3 linked regions of the Drosophila melanogaster genome follow. The protein of the gene in region 3 interacts with the protein of the main gene of each other region in a pairwise test. Each region holds a gene or a part of one and is shown on either strand. Other genes may lie near its edges.

What was found.
Region 1: the proteins of Met75Cb (region 3) and Phm interact in a two-hybrid assay, tested with the Drosophila melanogaster proteins (one large-scale study listed by BioGRID).
Region 2: the proteins of Met75Cb (region 3) and Prosap interact in a two-hybrid assay, tested with the Drosophila melanogaster proteins (one large-scale study listed by BioGRID).

The regions. Positions count from the first base shown.
Region 1 is NT_033778.4:23,984,675-23,990,641, forward strand, and holds Phm (Peptidylglycine-alpha-hydroxylating monooxygenase), read right to left. Parts: upstream 3,782-5,967; 5' UTR 3,629-3,781; coding exon 3,440-3,628; intron 3,002-3,439; coding exon 2,944-3,001; intron 2,881-2,943; coding exon 2,793-2,880; intron 2,736-2,792; coding exon 2,663-2,735; intron 2,635-2,662; exon of another isoform or gene 2,610-2,634; coding exon of another isoform or gene 2,046-2,609; exon of another isoform or gene 1,941-2,045; intron 1,721-1,940; coding exon 1,588-1,720; intron 1,535-1,587; coding exon 1,486-1,534; intron 1,428-1,485; coding exon 1,089-1,427; intron 1,022-1,088; coding exon 853-1,021; 3' UTR 501-852; downstream 1-500. Other genes in the region: Sox14 (Sox box protein 14), read left to right, coding at 1-345; CG30178 (uncharacterized protein), read left to right, coding at 2,046-2,609; Pask (PAS kinase), read left to right, coding at 4,157-4,244, 4,313-5,967. UniProt on the Drosophila melanogaster protein: Monooxygenase that catalyzes an essential reaction in C-terminal alpha-amidation of peptides. Produces an unstable peptidyl(2-hydroxyglycine) intermediate.
Region 2 is NT_033778.4:14,137,903-14,142,846, reverse strand, and holds the start of Prosap (prosap), read left to right. Parts: upstream 1-1,944; 5' UTR 1,945-3,058; intron 3,059-4,944.
Region 3 is NT_037436.4:18,468,529-18,471,772, reverse strand, and holds Met75Cb (Met75Cb), read left to right. Parts: upstream 1-2,154; 5' UTR 2,155-2,174; coding exon 2,175-2,330; 3' UTR 2,331-2,395; downstream 2,396-3,244.

The sequences.
Region 1 (5,967 bases), on a different chromosome or scaffold from region 3:
CCGGACGCTGGGCACACCACATTCCAGGCCGACGACTTCAACGCGATCCCGTCGGCCGCCGAGGACAGCGAATGCAGCATTCTGACCACCTCCAACTCGCCGCAGATTGGCTTCAACGGGAGCAGCTTCGTGGAGGCGGACGCCATCGGGAGCACTTGTACATACGCGCAACAAGACTACACCGGAAGTGTAATTGAAACACACAATGATCTCAACTACGCCGCACACGATAACAACGGAGCTCTGCTAGCCTACACATTTGAGGACTTGCCGCCTCAGCCAACCGGTAGTCATTTAGAGTTTAACACTAACAAATACGAGTTTGCAAGTTATTATAAAATGTGAGAGATATTTAAGTTTGTGTAATTTATAACTAATCTAATTGTACGTTTATAATTTTACACCAAATTATATATTAAATATGTATATGTATGCAGATAATACCATATATTCCATAAATTCTATATACATACAAAAAACGCGAGAATAAATGCTTTGCATTGAAAATATTTACGTCGGAGCAGTCTCATTTACTGCGTAGTGGAATGATCGCTGATCGCTGGTTCCTGCTATGCGCGACGAATGGGAAGGAGATTAACCTTGCGGCGATCAGCTAAGTGCTCCCAAATCCATTCAATAGGATCTCCAGCGGCTCTCGCGAATTATCTACATATGTTTATTTACACGTTACACAAATATGTTATATAAATCATTGGTGGCCAACAAAAGGGGATACAGAATGAGGCTAAACCATCATTAGTTGTTGCACACGATAAAATAATCCAGACAGTAAGGTAGTATACATTCGTTTCTCTTTCCGCGGCCGATTTCCTGGCTCTCGACGAGCGCTGATTACAAGGTGCTCGCCTCGATATGTGGGATATTGTGTAGGCCGGAGTCGGGATTGGACCAGAAGTAGTAGGGGGCGCCCTGGCTGAAGCAGAACTTCATGTTTAGTGTCTCCCCGTGATCCACGTAGTACATGAGATAGAAGTTGCACATCTCGTCCTCGTTCGTGGGACTGTCATCAATAAATAGTTGGATTAGGAGTGGTGCTAGAGCTGCGTTTCAAATCACTGCGTACTTACCCTATTTTGGTAGTCCGATGGCGAGTGCTCTGCATAGTACACCTCACGGCGATCTTATCTCCCTCGATTATGGGGTCTGTGTTGCTGGTGTTATAGAACATCTGGGGCGTGAGGGGATCTCTCTTGCCCAGCTGCAGCCACTCCTGTTCGCCGTCGCTGTTTGTCCTCACCCGGTAGCCGGAAACGACCTTTCCCAGGCCGTGGGTGTGCACCCGGTACGCAAAAGGATGCAGCACCTTCTGCTCGTTCACCTCGCAGGCCGTTTCCAGGTGCTCCGTCTTCATCGCCGGAATCTGTCCGTCAGTGCCCAGCAGCAGAGTGCCAGCCAGCTTTTTCCGACTGCCAGGATGGTACTGATTATTTTGAAAATCACGCATATTAAACGAAAGGAACTTACGGCTCTTCTGTGTAATCCAAAAACACACCAGAATCATCAGTGGAGCCATCTGAAGAAAAACACATTTAAATTTCCTTATATTGAACGCAATCTATTACTTACCTTTGAACTTATCAATGTGCGCGTAGTGAACTTGCAGCACAAGGTACTTGATTGGCGAGTTCTTGCCCACCTTGAAACCCACTCCCTCGGGCAGATTTAACTTTTGGGCGTCTCTGGCCCAAGCGTATACGATCTGTTGAGAGGTAAGTGTTAGTCCAGTAGGTGAAATTGTCTATTAGCACATTTGGCAGTTAGTTAAAGGAAAAACTCGATAAACAGGTTCAAAACTCTTATTAAACTGTGCTGACTGTCAAGGATTGACCTATTAAAACTTAGCCAGTTAACTCCTAATTATCCGCGCATTTCGATCTTTATTCATATGCCACATCAATCGTTTTGAAATGTTACTATATATGAGTTCGATTTTTGTGTCAAGAACAAGACAAAATTTGACTTTAAAACTATCTTTCCGATTTTTCCTTAAAATTTATAATTTGTCTATCAGAAAGCTGCCTAGTATGTCCGCTTCAATTTGCTGCAGATGCAACGAGAAGATTTGGCCACGGGCAGTTTGCAGCTTGGGTAAGACGTACCATCCGCACCACTTCACCTGCAAGGAGTGCGGCCTGGTGGTTGATCCTAAACTGTTTTTCGCGGTGGACGACGACGTGGTCTGCAGCGAGTGCTATCTGGACAAGCATGCCGCTCGGTGCTCCGCCTGCCGGACTCCGATCCTAGAGCGCGGCGTGGCTGCTGCGGAGCGCAAGTGGCACGAAAAGTGTTTCCGGTGCGTGAGCTGCAGCAAGTCGCTGGTCTCGGCGAGCTTCTTTGAAGTCAACGGATACCTGTTCTGCAAGGCGCACTTCCGGGAACTGTTTTCGTCCCGCTGCGCAGGCTGTGAGAAGCCAATCGATCGTCGAGCCGTGGTCGCGCTGAGCACCAAGTGGCATGCCAAGTGCTTTAAGTGCCACCACTGCCGCAAAAGGATCAGCGCACGGGAATTCTGGATCGAGAACGGTCAACCCATTTGCGCAGCCTGCCAAACTGTAGTCCCGAGTCCCCGAAATTTGTCGGCCCAATAAATGTGTGGTGTCTATCTGGGGGCCTATTTGGACATTTCTTTTTCTTTTAATACCTGGGAATTGGAGTGGGGTCCGCAAGGACTGGCAGACTCTTCTTGGGAAGCTCGGTTCATCTCGCCACAGTTCCTGTGAGCAAAAATGTGCGTGTTATTTACTAGTCTGAAAACATCACTTGCAACTCACCAGGTGGTCTTCGAGGTTCCGGGCTCTCCGCATCCGTAGAGCAGCATATGGTGGGCCGTGTTCATCGTGGCATTAGGATTGAAGCCAACTATTTAAGATAGAAAGGTTAGTTGAAGTATTTAAGGAATGAATCTCATTCGAAAGGACGTACCAATATAGTAGGTGGTAGTTGGGTCGACCTTGATGGGCGTGCACAAGTACAGATCGGGCTATATATGTACACATATATATATTTGTTAGTTTTGTTAGAGAGAACAGGCATATTGGATAAGTCAACAAGTATTATTCAAATGGGAGTATGGCCTTCAGTGGGCCGTTTGCCCTTTTTCGCCACCCTCGTAAAAACAAATTCGTATCTACGGCGCAGGTTCGAGAAGTGCAATCTACAGGTTTCGGTTTCAGGGCCTTACATGTGGGTGGCGAATTGTGTGTATTCGGGTACAACTGAACATATGGAAAAATTTGCACAGTACTCTTATGGGTTTTCCCCGCGCGGAAGATACGGGAAAAACCAGAGCCTATATCGAGGACTTTTCTAATCTGATTGGAATTGTATGCGCACAGCTGCAGCTGGGCGAATCTGTTCATCCATATGGAGCGAACTCCATGATGTATATGTATGGCGTTTTTCAGGAACCTGGACTTACGGTCTGGGGCGAAACGTTGGGCATCAGGAATGGAAACGAAGCCGTTGCGCCTGTTGCGGAGTTCGACTCGAGATTCTGTTGATAAAGGGAGTTTTGGTAATCCCCCTCTTTCACAAGGCCATCCACACTGATCACTCCGATAAGCAGGAGCAGCCCCACGGAAGCGGCTATTTCGGATATGCGTGGCATTTTCACCGTATTCGAACTATATTCGAGTGTGCACTGCACTGAATACTTTGTGGAAAACGAAAAAAAACCTTCCTGTTTGGAAGAACAATACGTTTTGTATTGCTCTCTCCGATATTTTTCCACACGTAGCTAGGCCCAGTTTATATGTAAGTAAGTGCGTTCTAGGCAGCAATCGATACCCAGAGCCATTATATCGATGACGGCGCCAGGGCTGCAGGCTAAGGGTTAGCGGGACATTCAAATATATATAACTTGTTCGCATTAAAGTACATAAAACCAAGTGTAATTTTCAACCTTTCGAATACAGTGATTTAAAGACACCTCAACGCAAAAGGAAACCCCACAAAAGCCAGCCCAATTCAACGTGTCTGCGTTCCGTTCGACCCACTGGGGAATTCCCCTTTTCGCATGCGCCATTCAATTGATTTTCTACGAGCAGAGTTCCCAATGTTTACGGTGCGCTCATTTGGTTGTAGCTGTAGGCCTCGAGTTGGAACCGCTGGGACTTGGAAAACATACGACGCTTAAATGGAGGATCAGGGCGACGTGACAGACCAAGCCGCTGGTAAGCTGAGTAGTTCGAATGCCCAGTGCTCCAGAAACCGATGTGCTAATGGTAAAGCTATATAGATGTACACTCAAGAGCGGTACTAAATTATTTACAAAAAATCGTGTAATTCCCAGATGACCCCATTATGGGCAGCCACAGTCAGAGTCGCCAGAACTCGTCCGGCATGCTGAACATGATGGACGCCAGCTCCTTCAGCATGCCCCCCCCCAATCTGCACTCCTCAAAGGTGATCAACCCGAACAAGGCGATATTCACAATCGACGCGAACACAGGGCAAATTTTTATAGTGAACAACAAGGCCTGCCAGCTGCTGGGCTACACGTCGCAGGAGTTGAGGAACAAGGGATTCTTCGACCTGCTTAACGGCAAGACAGAGAGCCACATCTCCTCCCTGGCGGAGATGCAGATCGAAGGCGATGAGGGCCGGGTCGTCCTGCTAAGTGGAAAGGTCATCGAGATGAAGACCAAGTCGGGCGGCAAGATCCTGGTCTCTCTCTGGATCCGGCAGATCAGCAGCGATGGCCGACACATAGCCGTCGCGGAGCCTGTGGAGAGGCATATTTGCCACATCAGCACCGATAGATCCGGAGTGATAACATCCGTTGACTCCACCACGGCCACCATATTCTTTTATGAATCCGTCGAAAGCGTGGTGGGTGTCAGCATTGTCACCCTTATCCCGTTTATAAAGCTGCCCGATCCGGATAGCCGTGAGATCCCCAAGAGCCTGCGGAAGCAGAGAGCTACTGGTCGAACTACGGATAACGTAAAGTTTCCCCTGTGCTTGCTAATAGCCCTGGACGAGGATGCTTCTGCGGGGTATTCCCATTCGGGAAAAACCGGTCTAAATATCACCGTCTGGGTGTTCCAGAATCTTAGTGGCCTGATTGTGGTAGATGACATAGGCAACATACTGATGTGCAACCAGCCTTTCTCGCTGCTAATGTTCGGATATGGTCAGGACAAGATAATGAACATGCATATATCGGCGATCCTACCCAATTTCGGCAAGGACTCTCGCGAGGAGAAGAGTCCGAATGTTTCGAACACCTCGATAACCAGTAACGACTGGGAGCCGGACACGGATCCCCTCGTCGTGGACAACGACTCCTCGCTGCAATCCTGCAAGAAGAGCTCGACTAACAGGACGGCGCCCAACAACGAACAGTCTTCGGTGGGCGATGCCCACCTAAGCTGCAATCTGGAGAACAGCAGTGGTCTATTCTGCGACCTCCGCCAGCCAGATGATTGTACAATAGATGACATTCTAACACCTGTAAATGCCTCAAACAGTTTCCCCGCTGACGAGTTTGAGGTAGGATCGCAGTCGCAGGTGAATGAGTCGTCCCTTGACAAGGCGAAGTCCGCGTCCACGGAGACCTGTGATGCCTCCGGCAGCAATCCCGCCACCAGACTGCTTAGTTCCATCAACGGAAGCTTTGTGGGGGAGGCCATTCACGCCGATGGCTCCGTCATAGAGGTAGTCTACTCCGTGCTCCTCCAGATACTGCCCTGCTCCAACCGGGTGTACTGCATCTGGGTGTGCCGCAACCCCAGCACTCGGCTGGACGGTGAGAAGTACAACTATGCAAACCTAACGTCCACATTCAACAGCATGGCCAGCACTGTTGAGCAGTCGCTGGGCCAGGTGATAAAGACCACCGCTGCCCAGAACTCCAGCAGACCCAATTCTCTGTCCTTGGTGTCCAAGTACGAGGACGAATTGTACCTGGGCGACTACAGCAAATACTACACGTCCATCCGCCAG
Region 2 (4,944 bases), on a different chromosome or scaffold from region 3:
TAAAGCATTTTTCAGTGCGGGTTATGAAAGCGGTGGGCGGGGAGAAGAGGTGTGGGGGGCGTGTCGTGCATACTGCATGTTGCACCAGAAGCACACGTTGCATCGGAATAGATGGCTCATAAATCCCAACTGACTGGAAACATCTAATAACTATGTCAGCATGTGGCTCTCAAACTGTAAAGCTGGCACGCACCTAAAAATGAAAATGGAAAACTGGGCGGGTTTTAACAAATTGTGGATCCATAAAGAACTCATTGAATTTGACAGGATTTCCTAAATCAATTCTTTATTTTATTTTAATTTCGTGTAAAATCACCCGTATAAAAATGCAAGAAAATTGGTAAAAAAGTGGAATTTATCGCGTAATGCAAGAGCACGTTGATATTACAGGAAAAACTCGGTAGCATCAGTGAAATTGCATTTTTCGACTGCCTAATTTTCCATGCGAAACCTCCTGCTTCTCTTCATAATAGGAGAACTGGCACTAAAACTGACCTCTGGGGTCGTCATCATTTTTGGCTCACGTTTATGATTGAAAATGTTCGTTTTTCGCAAAGCGGAGGAGTTTTGCATAAATCAAGTCAATTGGGTATATCGAGGAAAGCCAAATGAGTGATGGTTTTGAGTTTAAAACGGGGTGAAATTACATAAACTTCATATGTGAGATTATTTCTGGAAAGGATTTCAAATATTACAAAAAAATTTGGGTAAAGTCGAGATATTATCTTATTTGTAGACTTAGACAAATGTAATACGAAACAATGTGTTTAGGTTCGAAAACAACGAATTGATGTAATGATTTATGTAAAAAAACTGTACATTTAGGTACAATTTAGGAATTTATCTTATGATTTATGTAAAAAAATTGTACATTTAGGTACAAGTTTATTTGATGTATCTTAAAATGGTCATAACTTGCATTTTTTAAGTAGCCAATTAGCAAGTTTCAAATCGTTGTGGACCAATAAAAGTGGGCAAAAAAACACTTGGACTTTCAGGTTTTTTGCAATAAAAACAAAACCACAACTTAAGGCGCCTTTGGAAATAAGCCTTGGATAACAAAAACAGCAAACGAGGAAATTGGGAACAATGGACCGGCAAAGAAAAGCTGTCGCTCCCCGAAGCAACAACAACAACAGCAACAGAGGCTATGGATTAGCCACACGTGGCCCCCCACACTACCTCCCAACCACCCACTTTGGGTCAGGAAAATGAAAAACGATTCGAGCGCCAGAAGAGCCAAAAGAAATCGGCGAAAAAACCTTAAGAAATGCTGGAAAAATACCCAAGTGACCCAGAACTTGTGCAAGAAAATAGTCAAGGTGCTCGAGGGGAAATTGAAGGGGGAGGAGTTCTGCGGAGGCGTTTGATTTTCCTACGCTTTTGATGTTTTCCAACTAATGACGAAAGCAGCCAGCAAAAAACTCGAATGTTCGCCGAAAATGTTAGCCTGCTGTTAAGAGAAGCAAATAGCCCCAACATCCGGCGCAATAAATTTCGAAGAGCGGTTAACGGTCGACTTCGAACTACATGTTAGCATTTCGTGTTGGAGTCTGCGCTATGTTCTGATTAGAATGTCTAATTTGGAATGTCAATGAACATTTTAATTAAATGTTAAAGTTTTAAATATCGTGTTTTATTTCAGTACTGATGCAGCTATTGATATCAAGAGGCATAGCGCAGAATAAAAAACTAAAGTAAAATAATAAACATTGATTGCATTTGCAATTTTTAAATTCGTAGAACATTTTTCTAGCCAGGGCGCAATCCGTCATACAGAACTCCAATCAGAACTAAGTGCTGCCTCAAACCTCACGGCACAACCGGTTAACAGAAGCCGCTCTTTTATCGAATTCGAACTCGCTCTCTCCAACTAGAGCTGTAAGCCCAACGTTATCGGCCTGTAATCGAACATTTGCCATCTCTAGTGCGCTCTCCAACGATTTTTGTTATTGCTTTTTCAACCGCGATTCGTGCAGCATGTGTGTTCGCGTGATCTGTTAAAAAAATAATGCTTAAAGCACATCGGTAACCGTTAAAGTCGCCGGGGAAAAAACCAATATTGATACTAACGAATTTTCGAATAATTTTCACAAAACGATTTTGTGCGCGATTTTTTCGTCCAGGCTCAAGAGGAGTGCGAGCGAGAAGGAGCGAGACAGTCGACGGTGGCTGCGTGCAAAATAACGGTGCACCGAATTCGACCAAATAAAAATTGAAAATAATCGCCGTGATTATTAGAATTTTAAACTGCCAACTGCAGCTAACGAATCAACCGATACGAGAAACCGATCGATGTGAAGTGCAAAAACAAGTAGAAAAATACAAATAATAAAAACAAAAACCGGTTCGCCTCTGCAGCAGCAGAAATCAAAGCCAAAAACGAAAAGAAACAAAAATCAAAGACAGCGAAAGAATTTTTGTTGTTTGGCCGGTGCGTATGTGTTTGTGTGTGTGCGTGCGCGTCTGTGTGTGGGAGTCTGCCAGTGTGTGTGAGCCTCTCGGCAAAGGAGAAAAACGCACAAGTCGGTAGGAAAAAGGCGTACGTAAGGAAAACGAAAAAGAGAGGAAAAAACGCAGTAGGAATTTCTTGTTTCCCCAAAACCGAAAAAAAAAAATCCACGTAAACCCGTTTCCCTGCAAACACACAAAATATAAAAGGTGAAAAAGTACAAAAAAGAGTAATATCTGTGAAATAAACGGAGGCCGCAAAAAGTGGCACAAGTGAAAATTCCTGCGCCGTTCGTTTTATTATTATTTTTCTGTTGCCGTCTTTTTGACAATCGCCAAAAGTGAAAATCAATTTGCGAGAGCGCGCGCGCAAGGAGCGAAAAGGAAGAGAGAGAGAGAGAGTGTGAGAAGGAGAGCGAGGAAGAGCAATCCCGATATAGAACTCGTCCTTTTTCGGCCCCAAAATTACCCAACCCAAAAAAAAGAGAAAGAAAACTGAACGAAAAACTCCCGGAGAAAACAACAACACACAACGATAAACTGCAAAAGTAAACAAATTGCGCCGAAACTAAACGAATTTCGGAAAACTGCAGCCAACGGAAAAAAGGTCAGTACACAGCGATTGATTGGCCGGAAAATTAACTAAATTAAAGTAAAAACCCTCGAGTGCCAAAGTGGTGTTGAGCAGCAAACACCTTTTAATAGTCCCCCATTTGACCTTCACCCATGGACACCCTCGCAAATTGGTAGCACCAAAGTCGGGCTAGCAGTTAACCCTTACCCTTGATCACCGTTAATTGGACCCCCCTCCTCAGACTATCATGGTCATGGTCAGCAGGTTGTGAAAACGGTCATTTATTGAGGTGCGTTACCCTTGCATTATATAAGGCACGAAACTCTTCAATGAAAATCTAATTTCAAAAGGATTTTAACCACTGTAAGAAAAAAAGTTAAAAATGTATTAAAATATCGTATAGAAATGTAAAGGTATTTGTGCTTTAGATAAATGTAACAATAAAAAGGTGACATCACTATCTGTAACTATTATATTGAATTATTGCATTTGTCACTGCAACTGATGATTTCAAGAAAATCGTTAAGACCTACGACAGTTATTATGAAGCAGCTTTTCTGCAACTTAAATGACTGTTACTTCTGTTCTATGGCAGTTACCGCCTTCTTCGAGTTGCACACACTCATTCGAAATAAATTCGGACTGGCAGCACGTTTACCATTTGGCTGACTCTTTCTTTAATCGCACCTTTTTATGGGCCCACCGTTATATTGACCTTCACTCGAGGGGTTCTGCTCTTGAAGAGGCATTCATAAATTTCGTTTTCTGTGCGAGTGATTTGGAAATTGCACGCTTCCCTTTTTTTTTGTTTTGGAGGGGCTGGCTGCTTCCCCCTTTTTGTCCCACCAATTGCAGTTATCTTGGTTGTTTTTGTTCAACTTTACTCATTTGTTCATAACGTGACTGGTTCTTGTTGTGGCCTATTGCTTTTTGGTTGTATTTGTTGCTGCTGCAGCTATTGTTGTTGTTGTTACACAAGCGTAACAATAAAATTTCAGACTGGCCCGCCATGAAAATAGTTAAAATTTTATATGTGCTGTTATGATCATGTTTTATCTGATAGTTGTTCGCTTGTGGCACGTAACACGGTTTGTTTTAAACTTTTTCGTTGATTTGCAGGCGGCATGAAAGGGGCAAAGATATATGTACATATATGTTTATATATATGTTTATATGTACCTACATATATCACGTAGATCAGCGAGGGGAGAACTATCTGAGATCCAAGAGTTGGGTCAGCGGCTGCTTTTTGTCTCGGTTACTTAATGTGGATGCGGCTTAATTGTTCCAAAAGATCAGATATCTTGTGCTGCGCCTACAGTTGTGTTGAGATATAATCGTTACCCAGAAAATAAACATAAATATAAAGGTTTTCAGAAGAGCTTTAAAAATCATATACAAATCAGAAGAATATACAGTGCATTTAATATAATTTATTTGTAGAGCATTCCCATATAATTTTTTCTTGGAAAACGTATAAATTTACATTGAAATATTTATACTACTAGTTAATGCCAAAATAATATAAATATTAATGCTCCAAAATTTGCTCATGCTCATTTATCAGTCAGAATAATTTCAAAATGTAAATATTCTGAATGTTTTAGTGTCACGTTGAATTTAAGACGTGATCTCATGCTTCCCTACTCGAACCGAATACTTGCAGCTCTCACTGTTAACTGTTTGCGTGATCTTACTTAATTTCCTTACTTTGTGTTATATTCATTAAAAGATTTGACAATTTGCAGTGATAAATCAAAAGAAATCTGAACTCCTCGTGGCCTGCAAAGAGTGACATTTTTGCTCAACATTTTGACCAACATTTCGCCCAATTTGCATAAATTTCAAGCATTTGATTCATACGAAACGCTCCAAGTCGAGAAATTCGACTTTTATGGGCAAACTCCAAAAGGCCCAGG
Region 3 (3,244 bases):
ATAAACCAACTTGTAATGGCGACTGCAGTCAGGCCAACGACTCTTATAAATGATTCTTAGAAAAAGGTATTATTGGAAAAACTGAGGCTAAAGGAAATTATTTACAAAGCTCATTGATACAACTTTTCAACAGTTATTATTATTGAGACACATATTATACATTTTCTAAAGTGTCTTAATTAATTTTAGCTAACTCAAAACACTAAAACAAATTAAGCCAAGTCAGTGTAAATTGGATCTTAGTTAAATGAGTTATTTGCCAAACTAACTTTGCAAATCCCATTTGTAATGTAATGAAATCGATGCAAAGCTAAACTACCTGTTTATTTACTACACCTCAATCATTAAAATTGTTGCTAATTTGCTAAAGCAGATTGAGTTACAGCTTGAGGACACAGTCGGTGAAAAGAGTGTGTTGAATTTCCTTCGATGTGGAAAGTACAAGTGATTAAACAAGTAAGTGAGTTGTATGTTGTCCTTGTTGTCCTTGACTACCCTCTCCTCAATAAGGATCGTGGTCCCCATGTCCGCTTCTACAGCTCTTTCCTCGCACATGAGCTTGTTGCCGAGTCTTCGGTTGGATTTTACCTACACCTTTTCGCTAACATCGAATACCCTATTCTGCGGCGAGGCGTTTTCTCTATCCCTTTCAGCTTTCTGGATCCTATTGTGGAAATCTACGTGTGGCTCATCAGGTTGCGTTAGGACGATGTCAGCCGATCTCCTTTTGATGACCGAGTGAATCGACCTATTATTATATTGGATAGTGGCCAACATTACTATATCGACCGTATCACTTATGCCCTTGTCTATCCTTATGCACCTGGCTAGCTCCAGCAATGTGAAAACGCTCCACCTGTCCGTTGGAGGTACTGTTTAGTGGTGATGCATTTGTAATGCTTACACCAAAGTTGTTGCAAAGCATGGACACGATCGTGTGCGACTTCAGCGACGGTTCGTTGTCGCAATACATGGTCTTTAATAGTTCTCGAGGCGGTAGGTTGTACGATGGCAAATTAAGAAAACTTCTCGACGCAAGTGAGGAATAACTTGTTGTCAGCATAAAAAAAAATGTCTTTGTGCAAGACAGTATTGTGTGACAGTATTGGCGTTTCACCGAATTCTTGCTTCATTGGGTGCCTATCTTACTTGGCCCTCGCACAAGTCCTGCAGTTCTGCACGATCTCATTGGCCAGCTTGGATATTTTGGGGAAATAGTATTCCGACAATACCTGCTTTACTTTTTCTTGCTCTGCTCTGTATGCACTATTGTGTTCAGCAGTTAAGATTTCCCTTCTTTCTTCGAATCTGAGAACGTCCACAACGCGGTTCCTGCAATGCCAGAACTGTGTGGCTGGGAACCTCCGGGATATCTCATCCTGTACCTTTGCGAGCGTGCGAAAATCGCAATGGAAAGCGTTTACGCCCCTTGGGACGATTATGTCTACTGCCAACCAAAAGGCGGGTTCTTTGATCCGCTTCTGCTTGTTGGGGTGGCTTGACCCGCTGATGGGCACTTGCCTAGTATTCTTTTTCCACCATGCTCCTCACAAAGCTGGCAGCATACGCATATCTTTCATGGTACTATTCCACCTCTTGCGCCAGCGCCAGAGTTGACGGCAAGAACAGCTGAGAACAGCACATCTGTGAGACTACGCTTGAGTCCCGAAACCAACACACAATGTGCATCTTCGCGGAAGTTTTCACAGAGGCCCTTTGACTTTATTAGTCAACAATGTAAGTTTTTGCCGACTTCATCGTAATATTGAAGTAAAGACATGCTGCCTTGTCTCAGCGTATCCAACTCGCTCGATTACATGAACTGGACGTTTGTCGCTGTATGCGACTTATAATCGCGTCAAAGTTAAGTACTGTGCCGAAAGAAGCCAGAACAAACATACGATTCATGTGCGCCTGCAAACTCGGGCAAGCATTGATGGCATCCAATTTGCCATCAAGCATACGCCAAGTGAGCCATCGCAACAGAGAGGGTCATCGGAGAAATGTTAAACTAGAGCGAACAGCTTACGTAAGTGATGGGATTTAAATGCCGGAAAAACTTAAATGGCAAGCTTAACGCCGTATCACGTAGCATCCATATTAATTGCAACGTGTAGTCGGGTATAAATAGCTCACTACCTGCCACAGCCGATCATTCAGCACTACTCGACAAGATGAACGTATTCAATGGTTTCTTGCTAGTCTTCCTGGGCCTGGCCCTCAGCTCTGTGGATGCACAGATAGCAACACGCCAGGAAACCTCGGAGGACAAGGCTTGTGGTCCCCACGCCTACTACAATTACGCCCGGCACACTTGCCTGCCATTCTAGGAACCTTTCCAAAGTGTCCTATGCCTAAAGAAATAAAACGTTAAGGTACTAAATGTACCAGAAATAAATACGCGATGTTTAAGTTAAATGGGAAAAGAGGGTGCAGCATAAAAAGAGTGGACATTACATTAATGGTAATTCTATCCTTTTGGGAGATGCTTAAGAAGAAGATCATTTACAATACTTCTTACTGTTCAGAACCATCGATTTAGGTTAAGAAAATAACTAGATTTCTTATTATGAATGAATTGGTAAGCTCAATGGGCCATTATTTGAACGACCTTCAGCAGCTACCTCATCCACACCATGACTCCGAGGATGTGTTGGCAAGGACGTGGAAGAGCTTTCTTGAATGCACAACTTTATGCCCCTTCCTTTCACTGCTTCGCTAATTAATTCGCCCCTAAGAAGAACGGTTTCCCAGTCCCAGGAAGCCGCATCATAAACCAACTTGTTATGGCTTATTAATTTTGCATGCAGCCGCGACTGCAGTCAGGCCAACGTCATGTAAACATGTGCAGGATTCCACTGGCTCCTGCCTGTGAGAGGGGGTCCTGTGCTCGCAACTGAGAACTCGAGCCCGGAAAAGACAGCCTGATGGGGCCTCTCATCGGGAAAGTTAAAGCCTGCTCGAGGCAGATTTATTGCATTTTAATGCGGGCTCTGGATTGCACTCAATTGGTTAACTGGCCGACAAACACAGATTTAATTTCAAATATTTACTATTATCTGCGGGGAATCTTTGGACAGCGAATAAAACGTTTTTTCCGTGTGCCGCTGGCATAAAAATTATATTTACTGACTGAATGAAATTTTCCTGCTTTATTATTTGTTACGCTTTTACGTTTAATTCAGTAGCCCATATTTACTTTTCATTTAATTTCAGTTAAACTTGCAGATTGCCATTGAAAATC